Cricetulus griseus: one gene and its partner. The protein of the gene in region 1 purifies or fractionates together with the protein of each later gene. This does not show direct contact. Links are inferred from orthologs where the notes say so. Each region holds a gene or a part of one and is shown in the gene's direction. Other genes may lie near its edges.

Evidence for each region. Proteins that work in one complex are often made in the same cells at the same time.
Region 2: the proteins of Hnf1a (region 1) and Pcbd2 purify together in Homo sapiens (affinity purification with mass spectrometry; 4 studies listed by BioGRID and IntAct, with this or other methods). This does not show direct contact. The link is inferred for Cricetulus griseus from reciprocal best matches to the Homo sapiens genes HNF1A and PCBD2.

Annotation. Positions count from the first base shown.
Region 1 is NC_048597.1:94,548,328-94,554,401, reverse strand, and holds the start of Hnf1a (hepatocyte nuclear factor 1-alpha), read left to right. Parts: upstream 1-2,433; coding exon 2,434-2,759; intron 2,760-6,074. UniProt on the Homo sapiens protein: Transcriptional activator that regulates the tissue specific expression of multiple genes, especially in pancreatic islet cells and in liver. Binds to the inverted palindrome 5'-GTTAATNATTAAC-3'.
Region 2 is NC_048596.1:274,714,709-274,720,596, forward strand, and holds the start of Pcbd2 (pterin-4-alpha-carbinolamine dehydratase 2), read left to right. Parts: upstream 1-2,547; coding exon 2,548-2,634; intron 2,635-5,888.

The DNA of each region.
Region 1 (6,074 bases):
ATAAATAAATAAATAAAATTAAAAAACAAAAACAAAAAAACCCAAAAAAACTCAGGGGCCCAGGCACACCAGGGATCAGATTTACCACGGAGCTATATCTCCAGCCCTTTTAACATTTCATTTTATCTTTATTTTAAAATTTAACCCAGTTTATCCAAAAGAACACCATTTCAACAAGAGGTCTCAGCCACCACTCAAGTTCTTGGTGGCCCCTATGTGACCACCAAGGTGTGGTGGTGTGACAGGGACATAGTTGACTGTCAAAGGTGCTTGGCTCACCAGACGTGTTCTTGCCTGCTGCTGGCCTGAAGGCTTTCTGGCTATCTCTTCCTGCACTACAAAACTTGATCCTGACTCCAAAGAACCTTGAAGGTTCTGGAAGCAGCCCAGTTTGGGGGCAGTGCTCTTTACCAGGAAAAGGATGAAGAGAAACGAGAGGGCCAGGCTCCCTCACAGACGGAACATGGGGCCTGGCTAGGATGAAGTGAAGGAAGGATGGGCCTGTCTAAGTTTGCTATTTTATTCACAGATTGTGTGTGTGTGTGTGTGTGTGTGTGTGTGTGTGTGTGTGTGTGTGTATGTTTTGGAGACAGAGTTTATCTGTGTAGCCCTGGCTGTCCTGGAACTCACTCTGTAGACCAGGCTGACTTCAAGCTCACAGAGATCCACCTGCCTCTGCCTCCCTGCTGGGATTAAAGGCCACCACCTCCTGGCTTGAATTACTTTATAGTATGCATTCCAGGCTGGTCTAGAACTCCTTGTCCATGTGATATATTTTTAAAATTAATGAAGAACCCAAAAGGATGGAAAACACACATTCACATAAAAACTTTAATGTGGGTACTGTGAGCAGCATTGCTCACCTCAGCCAAAAGGTGTGGGGGGGGGCAATAATAAGCCATCTATGGATGCTTGGGAGAAGTGCTATGTCTCCGTGCAGTAATTGCCCTTTATTCACCAGGGAAGGGATAAATGGGGATAAATTTGTACTCTGGATGAGTGAGCTTTGAAAACAGAATGCAAAAACAAAACAACAAAAAACCCAGAATGCTAAGAATAGGCAAGCCCAAAGAAGGGAAGGGGGAGGGAGAAGGATGGGGCAGGGAGAGGGAGGAAAGACTGGTAGGTCATGGCTGCTCAGAAGATGTGGAGTTTCTCTTGGGATGATGAAAATGTTCTGAATTGATTGGTGGCGTGAGGCAGTGCTTGGGATACACTAAACACTGCTGAGTGAACGTGTCAAAAGGCAACAAGATGGCTCAGCCGGTAAATGTGCTTGTGGCCAAGTCTGACCACCAGGGTTCCCACAGGGAGGAAGAAGAGAACTGACCCCTGCTGCTGTCTCTCTCTCTCTCTCTCTCTCTCTCTCTCTCTCTCTCTCTCTCTCACACACACACACACACACACACACACACACTTAAAAAGACAAAAATATCGATTGCTTTCATTAAGTAGTACTGGAGAAAAATCATACTTAAGAAAAATTAAAAGATGTATTTTAGGGCTGGGGTGTGGCTCAGTTGGTAGAGACCTTGCCTAGCATACATAAGGCCCTGGGTTTGATCTCCTGTACTTCAAAAACTTGGCTGTGGTACAGGCCTGTAATCCCAGCACTTGGGAGGTAGAGGCAGGAGGATCAGAAGTTCAAGGTCATCCTGTGCTACACAGTAAGATTGTCTCGAAAAACAACACACACACACACACACACACACACACACACACACACACACACACACCTCCTGGGGTCAGGATCATACAATGATGAGAAGGGCATAGATATTAACACAGAAGTTTGAATTGTTAGGATACAAGTCTTAAGTTTTTCCCACCCGGCGTCTGGTGTTGGGCTTGGCTGGAGGTTCAGTGACCCCACTGGAGGGAATGTGACCTAACTCTACCCTTGAGAACTGGTCCAGTGGACCAGAGCTTCCTGCTGCTTCAGCGCCCAGGGCCAAAACCAACCGAGACCCTTGGGCAGTGGGACCCAGGACTGCTCTCAGAGGCCTCCTGGCTCCTGGTAACTCTATTCCAGCGCCCCTGGCCCCTGCTCCACCTCCCCCACCCGCCCTTCTGCTCACTCCCAATTGCAGGCCATGGCTCCTGGTCTTCTCACTGCCATGAGGCCTGCACTTTGCAAGGCTGAAGTCCAAAGTTCAGTCCCTTCGCTAAGCACACGGATAAATATGAACCTTGGAGAATTTCCCCAGCTCCAATGTAAACAGAGCAGGCAGGGGCCCTGATTCACTGGCCGCTGGGGCCAGCGTTGGGGGTTGGGGGTGCCCACAGGGCTTGACTAGTGGGATTTGGGGGGGCAGTGGGTGCAGCAAGCCTGGTTCGTGACTGCCAGCCTGCCGGCAAGTAGACACCGGCTGTGGGTGGGGGAGGCGGCTAGCTCAGTGGCCTTGGGCCGCGTGGCCTGGTGGCAGTGGAGCCATGGTTTCTAAACTCAGCCAGCTGCAGACGGAGCTCCTGACTGCCCTGCTCGAGTCCGGCCTGAGCAAGGAGGCTTTGATTCAGGCCTTGGGGGAGCCAGGGCCCTACCTGATGGTTGGAGATGCTCCCTTGGACAAGGGGGAGTCCTGCGGTGGGAGTCGAGGGGACCTGGCCGAGCTGCCCAATGGCCTGGGGGAGACGCGTGGCTCGGAAGATGACACGGATGACGATGGGGAAGACTTCGCGCCACCCATTCTGAAAGAGTTGGAGAACCTCAGCCCGGAGGAGGCAGCCCACCAGAAAGCCGTGGTGGAGACGCTTCTGCAGTAAGGACCCCACCCTGTCCCCATAGCGGCCCACTTCCCGTCCTCAGCAGCTATGGCCTTCAGGCTGGCGGTCAAGAGGGGAGAGAGCTCAAGGGGTTCTTGCCGGACCCACTCCTCTGCTTGGTCCCATAAATCCCATATCTGTGGGCTACTATCTGCAGCCCGGTCCTTAGGAAGTAGGGGCTGGCAGGAGGTCACTTTGAAATGGAGGACAAAGGAACCAAGCTCCAAAGAAATGCTTGGACAACCAGAGGGTAGAAGAAATCTTCAGCCACCGTGGTCATTTGTGCTCTCACAAATACCACCTTCTTGGCTAGGTGGTCAGACCCCAAGTTTGGGGGCCCGAAAGCTTCTGAGGAGGCCGGCTGAGGTTGGGGTTTTAGGGGATTTCCTGACGCACCAGGGCCTTAAACTGGGTAAACCGGGGATTTCTTACCTGAGGCAGATGGACCACTTTCCTGCATGGCCACGACTGCCCCCCCCCCGCCCCCACCTGTCGGGATAGCAGTTTTAGCGGCCTACCCATACCATACCCCCTCATCTGTTGTCTGGCTCCCCATCTCCTGGAGTGCTGGGTGGGTCCCAGTCTTGATGCCGCCCCTCTCCTCAGCAAAGCTGACCTGGTTACTAATTACCCATGCGCTTTATTATTTCTTTTGTTTTATAAATTTATAAATAGCAAAAGGCTCTGATAAGGCCTGTGATCATTAACTTGTAGGGATGGTGGCTGGGAGATGCCCAGTCGGGGGTGGAGAAAGGTAACACCAGGGTGGGGGGAGGGTGACCTGGGGGCTGTGGGGAACCACTCCTCCCAAAACCTCCATGTTTTCATGCGAATATCTCTCCAATGGCTACTTTCTGTTGGGATTTCATAATGCCTAAATTCCCATAATATGGAGATGAGCCTCAGACGAAGCTGTTACAAAGTCAGTTTCACAGATAGGGAAACTGAGGCTCGAACTGGGGCAGGAGCTATGAAAGTGTGGCCTGAGGGCTGGCTGAGGAGTTTGCCGGAGAACTTTCAGGAAGGAGCCTCTTTTCTGTCCAAGGTCCTGATCCTGCTTGGGGTGGGGGAGGGCTGGTGGAGCCCGGCATTTCTGGAAGTGTTAGGGAACCTCCCTGGGCCTTGGGCAAGGGGCAGGGGAGCAGTCAGGCCCCCTGACTTGGCAGGAAGAGGAGGGCAAAGGGCTGCCTCGCTGCAGGGGAGGGGCAAAGGGCCAGACATTGCCAGACCTAGGGCACAAGAAACCTGGATAGGGTGGGGCCGGGCCTGACCTGTTCAAGGGGCCCCAGGTGGGACTAGGGGCTCAGGGACAGAGGTGGCAAGGGACTTCTTACCTGGGTAGGTGGGACCTCTTGATCAGCAGCCCCATGGTGGGGGAAGTAGAGGCTGAAGTGGGGCTTGGTCCAAAGCAGCTAAGAGGTCAAAGTGCTCCCTGGGGGCCAGCAGAGTCCTGGAAGCTGACAAGGAGAGGGACAACAAGGAGGATGAGGAGGGAGAGGGCGGGAGGAGCTGAGAGAGCAGAGGAGCCAGGAAGGGAGAGGGTCTCCAAGCAGCTGGGAGAAGGGGCAGGGGAGAGAGGGGCAGGGGAGAGAGGCCGAGCTGGGAGGAGGCTGGAGTTCCTCCCTCCCAGGTTGGTTTTCTTTAATGCTAACAGCGTGCTATTTGCTTTCCATTTAAATTCGAGATGTTGCTATAAATTATCAACCAGCTCCTTGTTCCTGCAGAGTTTATAACTAACTACCTGGGTTACTTATTGTTCAGGTAACAAAGGGGACCTGAATATGTCCCAGGGACAAAAGTGGGGCCTCTAGTGTCAGGACAGGGGGGGTGGGAACTCTGGGAAGGACCCCCATAAAGGCCTGGGTAGTGGGGATATTGAGGCTGGAAGAGGGGATGGTAAGCTCCCCATGGGAGCTGTTGGCTCAAAGACCTACATGTGAAAGGGGGACACCCCAAATGACACCCAGATTCTCCTCACAGATCCCTATCCTTCAGGTCTTTACTGTGTGACCTTGGGCAAGTCTCTTTCCCTCCCCTGCCTCAGTGTCACCAGGTAGACAGGGAATAAAGGCAAACTGTCTGCCTTGGTTCTAATTCCACTCTTCCCCTCATCTCTCCCAGCCTCCTTCCCCTCCCCTCTCCTCTCCCAGCCTCCTTACCCTTTTTATCCTTTCTTTGGTACCCGTGATGCTGACTTTGCTGGTCCTGGATGCACAAGTTGATTTCTACTTCACAGCCTTTGCCTGTCTTGTTCTTCCTGCTAAGGACCCTGCATTCCCCCCCCAACTGCTTCTTCCTTGGCTCTGAGCTCCCTAACTACCCTGTCTGCATATGAGCTGTACCCCAGTTTCTCTTTCCTTCACTGTGTCTATCTACTCTCTCTGGTCCCTTAATCATATAGTTATTTTATTTGTCTCTTTGTTTATTTCTTGTCTCCTGATGTGAAAACATCTCCAGGGAGAAGCTTATGACATCACTACTCTCACACACACACACACACACCCACTGCCCTGACATGCCAGGCATGAGTGAGCAAGAGATAGTCTTCCCTGAGGACACCTCCTACTCCTCCATAGGGGAACACTTGGGATCCAGAGCTCTGTCCTGGCTGCCAACTGCTTAAACCTCAACCTTGCTGTTTTCTGATCTCCCCTGTCAGGCAGCAGCAGGGTTCTCCCAGATGATAACATAACAGCATGCACCATGCTTCACCAGACAGTGGCCTGCCTTGGTTCCCATCCTAGCTCTGTCCCTTTCCAGCCAGCTAGGTGGGTTTTGTTCCCCAAGTCCCAGTTTCTTCTGCAGAACAGTGAGGACAACACTCAGCCACAGGGTCACGAGCATGACCACAGCTGAGCAGTAATCTACCTGCATGGCTTTAAGCATTAAGAATCAATTGCTCAGGCGGGTGTTGGTGGCACACACCTTTAATCCAGCACTCAGGAGGCTGAGGCAGGTGGATCACTGAGATCACTGAATTGGAGGATAACCTAGTCTACAGAGCAAGTTCCAGAACAGCCAGAGCTACACAGAGAAACCCTGCCTCAAAAAACAAAAATCAAAAACAAACAAAACAAAAAATCCCTCACAAAGGGTTTAAAAATGATTAAACTTGGGTTTCCTTCTGAATAATTTCTGAAGCACCCACCCACACACACACACACACACACACACACACACACACACACACACACACACACACGCACGCATGCGACAGGATTTCAAGAATGCCAGACTAGCTTCAAACTTGATATATCAAGGGTGACATTGAACACCTAATCCTCCGGCCTCTACCTCTCAAGTGCTGAGAT
Region 2 (5,888 bases), on another chromosome or scaffold:
TTGGATCCCCTGGAACTGGAGTTACAGACAGTTGTGAGCTGCCGTGTGGGTGCTGGGAATCGAACCCAGGTCCTCTGCAAGAGCAGCAAAGTGCTCCTAACCTCTGAGCCATCTCTCTAGACCTGAGAGCCTTCTAAAAAATAAAATAATTAAAAGTGTGTGTGTGTGTGTGTGTGTGTGTGTGTGTGTGTGTGTCTCAGAGGACAACTTGTGATGACAGCTCTCTCCTCTCACCAGTGGGTCCTGGGGACCAAACAGGTCAGCAGGCTTGGCCAAAAGAACCTTCGCCTGCTGAGCCAGCTTCATGGCCCATCTGGTGAGTGCCACCCGCACAGAGCCTCTGTTGGATGATGATGTAACTTCCCTAGGCCCAGACATCTTTCTCTTGCTGCTTTGTAACTAGATTTGAGATGCCATGGTTTCAGACGGGTGTTAAGGAGGGAGAATGACGCACCATGGCTTTGTTAGTCACCTACCAACCCATTTTCAGTTCTCAGCTTCTCTCCCTCCTCCTTTTCCAGGGTGTAGCTCGGCTGGAGTCAAACTTCAACTCCTCCTGCCTGTCCTTCCCAGTGCTGATTCCAGGTGAATACCACGCCCTCGGGGATCCTCACTTCAATAAGCAAATCTCAAGACTATTTTCCATAATCATAAACACTCAGTGAGGATACTAAAACAAGACTTAGTTTTCTTCCTTCCTTCTTCCTTTTTTTTTTTTTGAGACAGGGTTTCTCTGTGTAGCCCTGTAGACCAGGCTGGCCTCCACCTGCTTCTGCCTCCTGAGTGTTGGGATTAAAGACCTGTGTCACCACTGCGGGAAAATAAGACTTTTCTTTTAATTCTACCCCTGGCCCCTCATCCTTAGGCCCAAAGAAACCCACACTGTCACCCAAGTTACTTCAAGTCAATGCTGTCGGACCAGTGCCCTCAGAGTACCCGGAGTTTTTCAGATTGTTACATCTTGCCAATCAAGAAACAAAACAAAACAAACAAAAGGTCAGGACTGAAGTGTACATTTTTGGTTATTTTGAGGCTTTATTTTTTTTCTAAGACCATCTGGGATATAAGACTGCTAATAATTACGAAATCATTCTTAAATGAAGTCTTTAGTACATATATCCTTTTGCCGAATTTTCCGTAAAGCTGATAAAAATAAGAAAATTCTTACTATGCAGCTCTGACTCGGCAACTTCCTATGTATCCCAGGCTGGCTGTAACTCTCAGCGATCAGTCTGCCTCAGCCCCAGAGTTCTGGGATTAAAGGTGTGTGCTACCATGTCTGGCAAACTGGTAATATTAATGTGCTAATTTAGAAAAAAAGAGCGGGGCTGGGCTTGGGGGTGCATGTCCACAACCTCCAGCTCCTGGAAGGCGGGGGCAGGCGGGTGTTCAAGGCGGCAGAGCCTCTGCAATGTTGTACCTGGGCTACAGTAAAACTGGCTCAAGAAAGGAATACAAAATAGTTATTAGTAAAAAACCCCAAAGGATGGCCTGGCTGTGGTGACACTCTCGGGAGGCAGAGGACGGCGGATCTGAGTTCGAGGCCAGCCTGGTCTACAGCGTGAGTTCCAGGACAGCCAGGGCTACACAGAGAAACCCTGTCTCAAAAAACCAAAACCAAGCCAAACAGCACCACCACCAAAGACAAAACAAAACAACAAACATACAAGGGGAACTAAAAGCTGAAACATTTTAATCAAAACTCACCACAGCGTCAAAACCCTGGCCCCATACCACGGATTTTAAAGAGTGAATTTTATTGTCAATTACGTCTCAAAGGAAAAAAAAAAACTGCAAAAGGATAATAAGGACTAACACACAGACACACACAGACACACACACAGGGCACACACACAGGGCACACACGCACACACACACAGAAGACACACAGACCCAGACAGACACACAGACACAGACACACACAGACACACACACACACACAGACACACACACACAGACAGACACACAGACATAGACACAGACAGACACACACACACACACAGACACACACAGACACACACACAGACACACACACACACACACACAGACACACAGACACACAGACACACACACACACACACAGACACACACACACAGACAGACACACAGACATAGACACAGACAGACAGACACACACACACAGACACACACAGACGGCACACACACACGCACACAGACACACACACACGCACACAGACACACACACACACACACACACAGACGCACACACACACACACACACACACAGACACACACACACACACACACAGACGCACACACACACACACACACGCGCGCGCGCGCGCACACACACGCACACACACGGCATTTAAAGAACACGTCCCCGTACTGTCTCAGCGCGTCCCCAGCGGTCTCCGCTCCGAGCTCAGCTGCCACGGCCACCGCGCACTCCCGCCAGGCCCGCCCCGGGCTGCTCGCCCGGCCGAGGGAGTTGAGCCTGGGCGAGCACCGCGGCGCCGCGGCCATCCCGCCCCGGGGGCCTTCGGGGCCTGGGCGGCGTCAGGCAGCGCGCGGGCAGCCCGGGCCATGGCGGCGGCGGCGGCGGCGCGGGGTCGCGCGGCCTCCTGCGCGGGTTGGCGGCTGCGCGGTCGGGGTGCGAGCCGGGCGGCCATGGTGAGTGCGAGCGCGCGGTGCGGGGAACCGGGCCGGGGTCGAGAAGGCTGCGCGCGCAGACCTGGCGGAGCGCAGTGCGCTGCGTGGAGGGCGCGCGTGAGTTCGAGGCCAGCCACGGCTCCGCGCGGGCACCTGCCACAAAACAAGACGCCCAAGCGCTTCCGAGGGCGTTTATGAGCTCGCCCACCGGAACAATCCCGTGTAGCGCGCGCACGCACGCACGCACGCACACCTACGCACACACAGGCACATGTGAAGATTAGTGGTGACCTAGTGGGCCGTGGCACACACGCATACACACGCACACACGCGCACACAGGTGCACACACCCACAGACATGTACACGCGCACACGCACGCACACGCACGCACCTGAACACGCAGATACACATGCACACGCACAAACACGCACAGACACGCGTACACACATGCACACACGCTCACACATATGAGCGCACACACGCGCGCACGCACACACGCGCACACACATGCGCACACGCTCACACATATGAACGCACACACGCGCGCACACGCGCACAGACACGCGCACACACATGCACACACGCTCACACATATGAGCGTACACACGCGCACACACGCACACACATGCACACACGCTCACACATATGAACGCACAAACACGCACAGACGCGCACACACATGCATACACGCTCACACATATGAACGCACACACACGCGCACACGCGCACGCACGCGCACACACGTGCACACACATGCACACACGCTCACACATATGAACGCACACACGCGCACACGCGCACACACGCGCACACGCGCGAAGATTAGTGGCGGCCCAGTGGGCCGTGGCCGTCGTGTGAGCTGCGGCCGGGGCAGGCTCCCCTAAGTGGCCGCTTAGCCGGGCAGGCTTGGTCGTGAGCTGTAGGAAGAATTAGGGAATTACCTTTCCTTCCCGTTGTTGAAGGGCACATCGGTTTTCTCACCGCCTGTACAGAGGGCATTTCAAATTTTCTTCCTTCGCACATTAGTATTTGGGCCGTGCGTTGTGGCGTGTAATTCCTGCGCCCAGCGAGGCTGAGGCAGGAGGATTACTGCGAAGCCCGCCTAGGAGTTTGGAGGGGTGAGTTAGAGAAGTTTTAGCACGCAGCTCCATCTAGTGGAGAACGTAGCACGAAGCGCGCCGTTTCCTCTCCTGCCGCTTACTAGAGACCGTTGGGAAAATTTTCTCATGAGTAAGTCATAGACGTGGTTTATATTCCTGTAAAAGGTCTATAATGAATTTCTAAAACAAGTAATTTTTCTTTTATTACACGGTAGAATTGTTGAAGTCAGAAAATTATTGCTGGTAACGTCCATTGTTTTTGACTAATGACTTTAGAGAATTTTTTTTTCCCCTGCAACCCAGGACCAGTCATTACACTTGGCTAACATATTTTTTTAAAATTAATTAAAGTGATTTTTCATACAAGTGTCTATATGTGTGAAGTAAGGTACACTAAACACATTCTCCTATGCAAGAAGGAATGACATTTCATTTTTTTTTTTTTTTTTTTTAATGGGCTAGGTCTCATGTAGCTGAGGCTGACCTGGAACTTGATGTATTTCTGTCGTGGAACCCTTAACTATGTAAAGATGGTCACATTTGATATGTTGCTGAGTATTACTTTAACTGTATAAAGGTGTGTTGCATTTGTTTGTGCTTCATTTGTTTAATTATGCAAAAATGTGTGGCTGTTTCTACTTGTCTGCCCAAGGCATCTGAGGGTCTAATTAAAAGCCAAATGGCCAATAGGGGGCCAGTAGAGGGATAGGTGAGGGTGGAAGACAGAAAGAATAAATAGGAGAAGAGAACGAGGGAGAAAGAGAGGGAGACCCTGGGAGCCAGCCAGCTGCCAGCCACATTGAGAGCAAGCCATGAGCGTAGAGCACACAGAATGAAAGAGAGTTTGTAAAGAGCCCGAGAGGCAAAACGTAGATGCAGAGAAACAGGCTAAAATAAGTTGTAAGAGCTAGAGGACAAGCATAAACTAAGGCTGAGCATTTATAACTAATAATAAATCCCCATGCCATGATTTGGGAGCTGGTTGGGCAGCCCCAAAGAAAGTCTGTTACACATTTCTGCTTCCACCACCCAAGTGCTGAGAACATAGGCATGTGAAATTTCTTTAATATGTAACATGTGGAAATAGCTCAAAATTCTGCACAACTTGCTTGGTATCACCTAGGTGTGTCTCAAGGCGTACTCCTACCCAGAGTGCTGCTGACCGTATAAAATGACGGTGTTTGGGAGGAAAGAGTGAAGACTGCATTTGAATGGCTGCTCTGAGCCAGAGTCTCTGATGGCCACCATCACTTTCCAGTTCTCCTCACATTCAGGGTCTCTGCCTTCCCTTCCCCTCCTTTCCATCTTTCTTTGAATCTTACAATGGGGATGTAGACCAGGCTGGCCCTGAACACAGAGGTCCATCTGCCTCTGCCTCCCGAGTGCTGGGATTAAGGCGTGCGCCGAAAGATCTCTTTAAGTCTTTAACAAACAAAAACAAAGAACCTTGCACTATCCCTGCTACAGACCCGAGGGGCCCTGGAACCCAGAGAGGCCAAGTTTAGCATCCAGCAGTAAGAAGTTAAAAAGGTAGCCGTTTACACCCCTCAGATCCTGTGCTTGTTCACATCTCCCCCAGCTCTTATGGAAAACATTCCCCGGTTACTTCAAAGGACTGTGCTGGGGGCTGGACAGATGACCAAGCAGTTAAGGTCTCTTGCTGCTCTTGCAGAGAACCTGTTCCATCATCACCCAATCTGGTGGCTTATGACTATCTGTAACTTCAGTGTCAGGGAGTCTGATGCCCTCTTCTGGCCTCTGCTAGCAACATATATGCACACTGTGTATATAAATACACGAAGGCAAAACACATAAAATAAAAGTGGATAAACCCATGCCTTATATCCCTATACTTGGGAGGCAGAGGGAGGCAGATCGCTGTGAGTTTGAGGCCAGCCTGGTCTACAAAGTGAGTTCTAGTACAGACAGGGTTGTTACACAGAGAAACCCTGTCTTGAAAAACTAAAATAAGCCTTTAATCCCAGCATTTGGGAGGCAAGTGGATCTCTGTGAGTTCGAGACCAGTCTGGTCTACAAGAGCTAGTTCCAGGACAGCCTCCAAAGCCACAGAGAAACCCTGTCTCGAAAAACCAATAAAATAAAATAAGATAAAAATAAAAAAGAAAGAAAACTAAAATAAATAAATAAAACATAAATAAATCTTTAGAAAATAA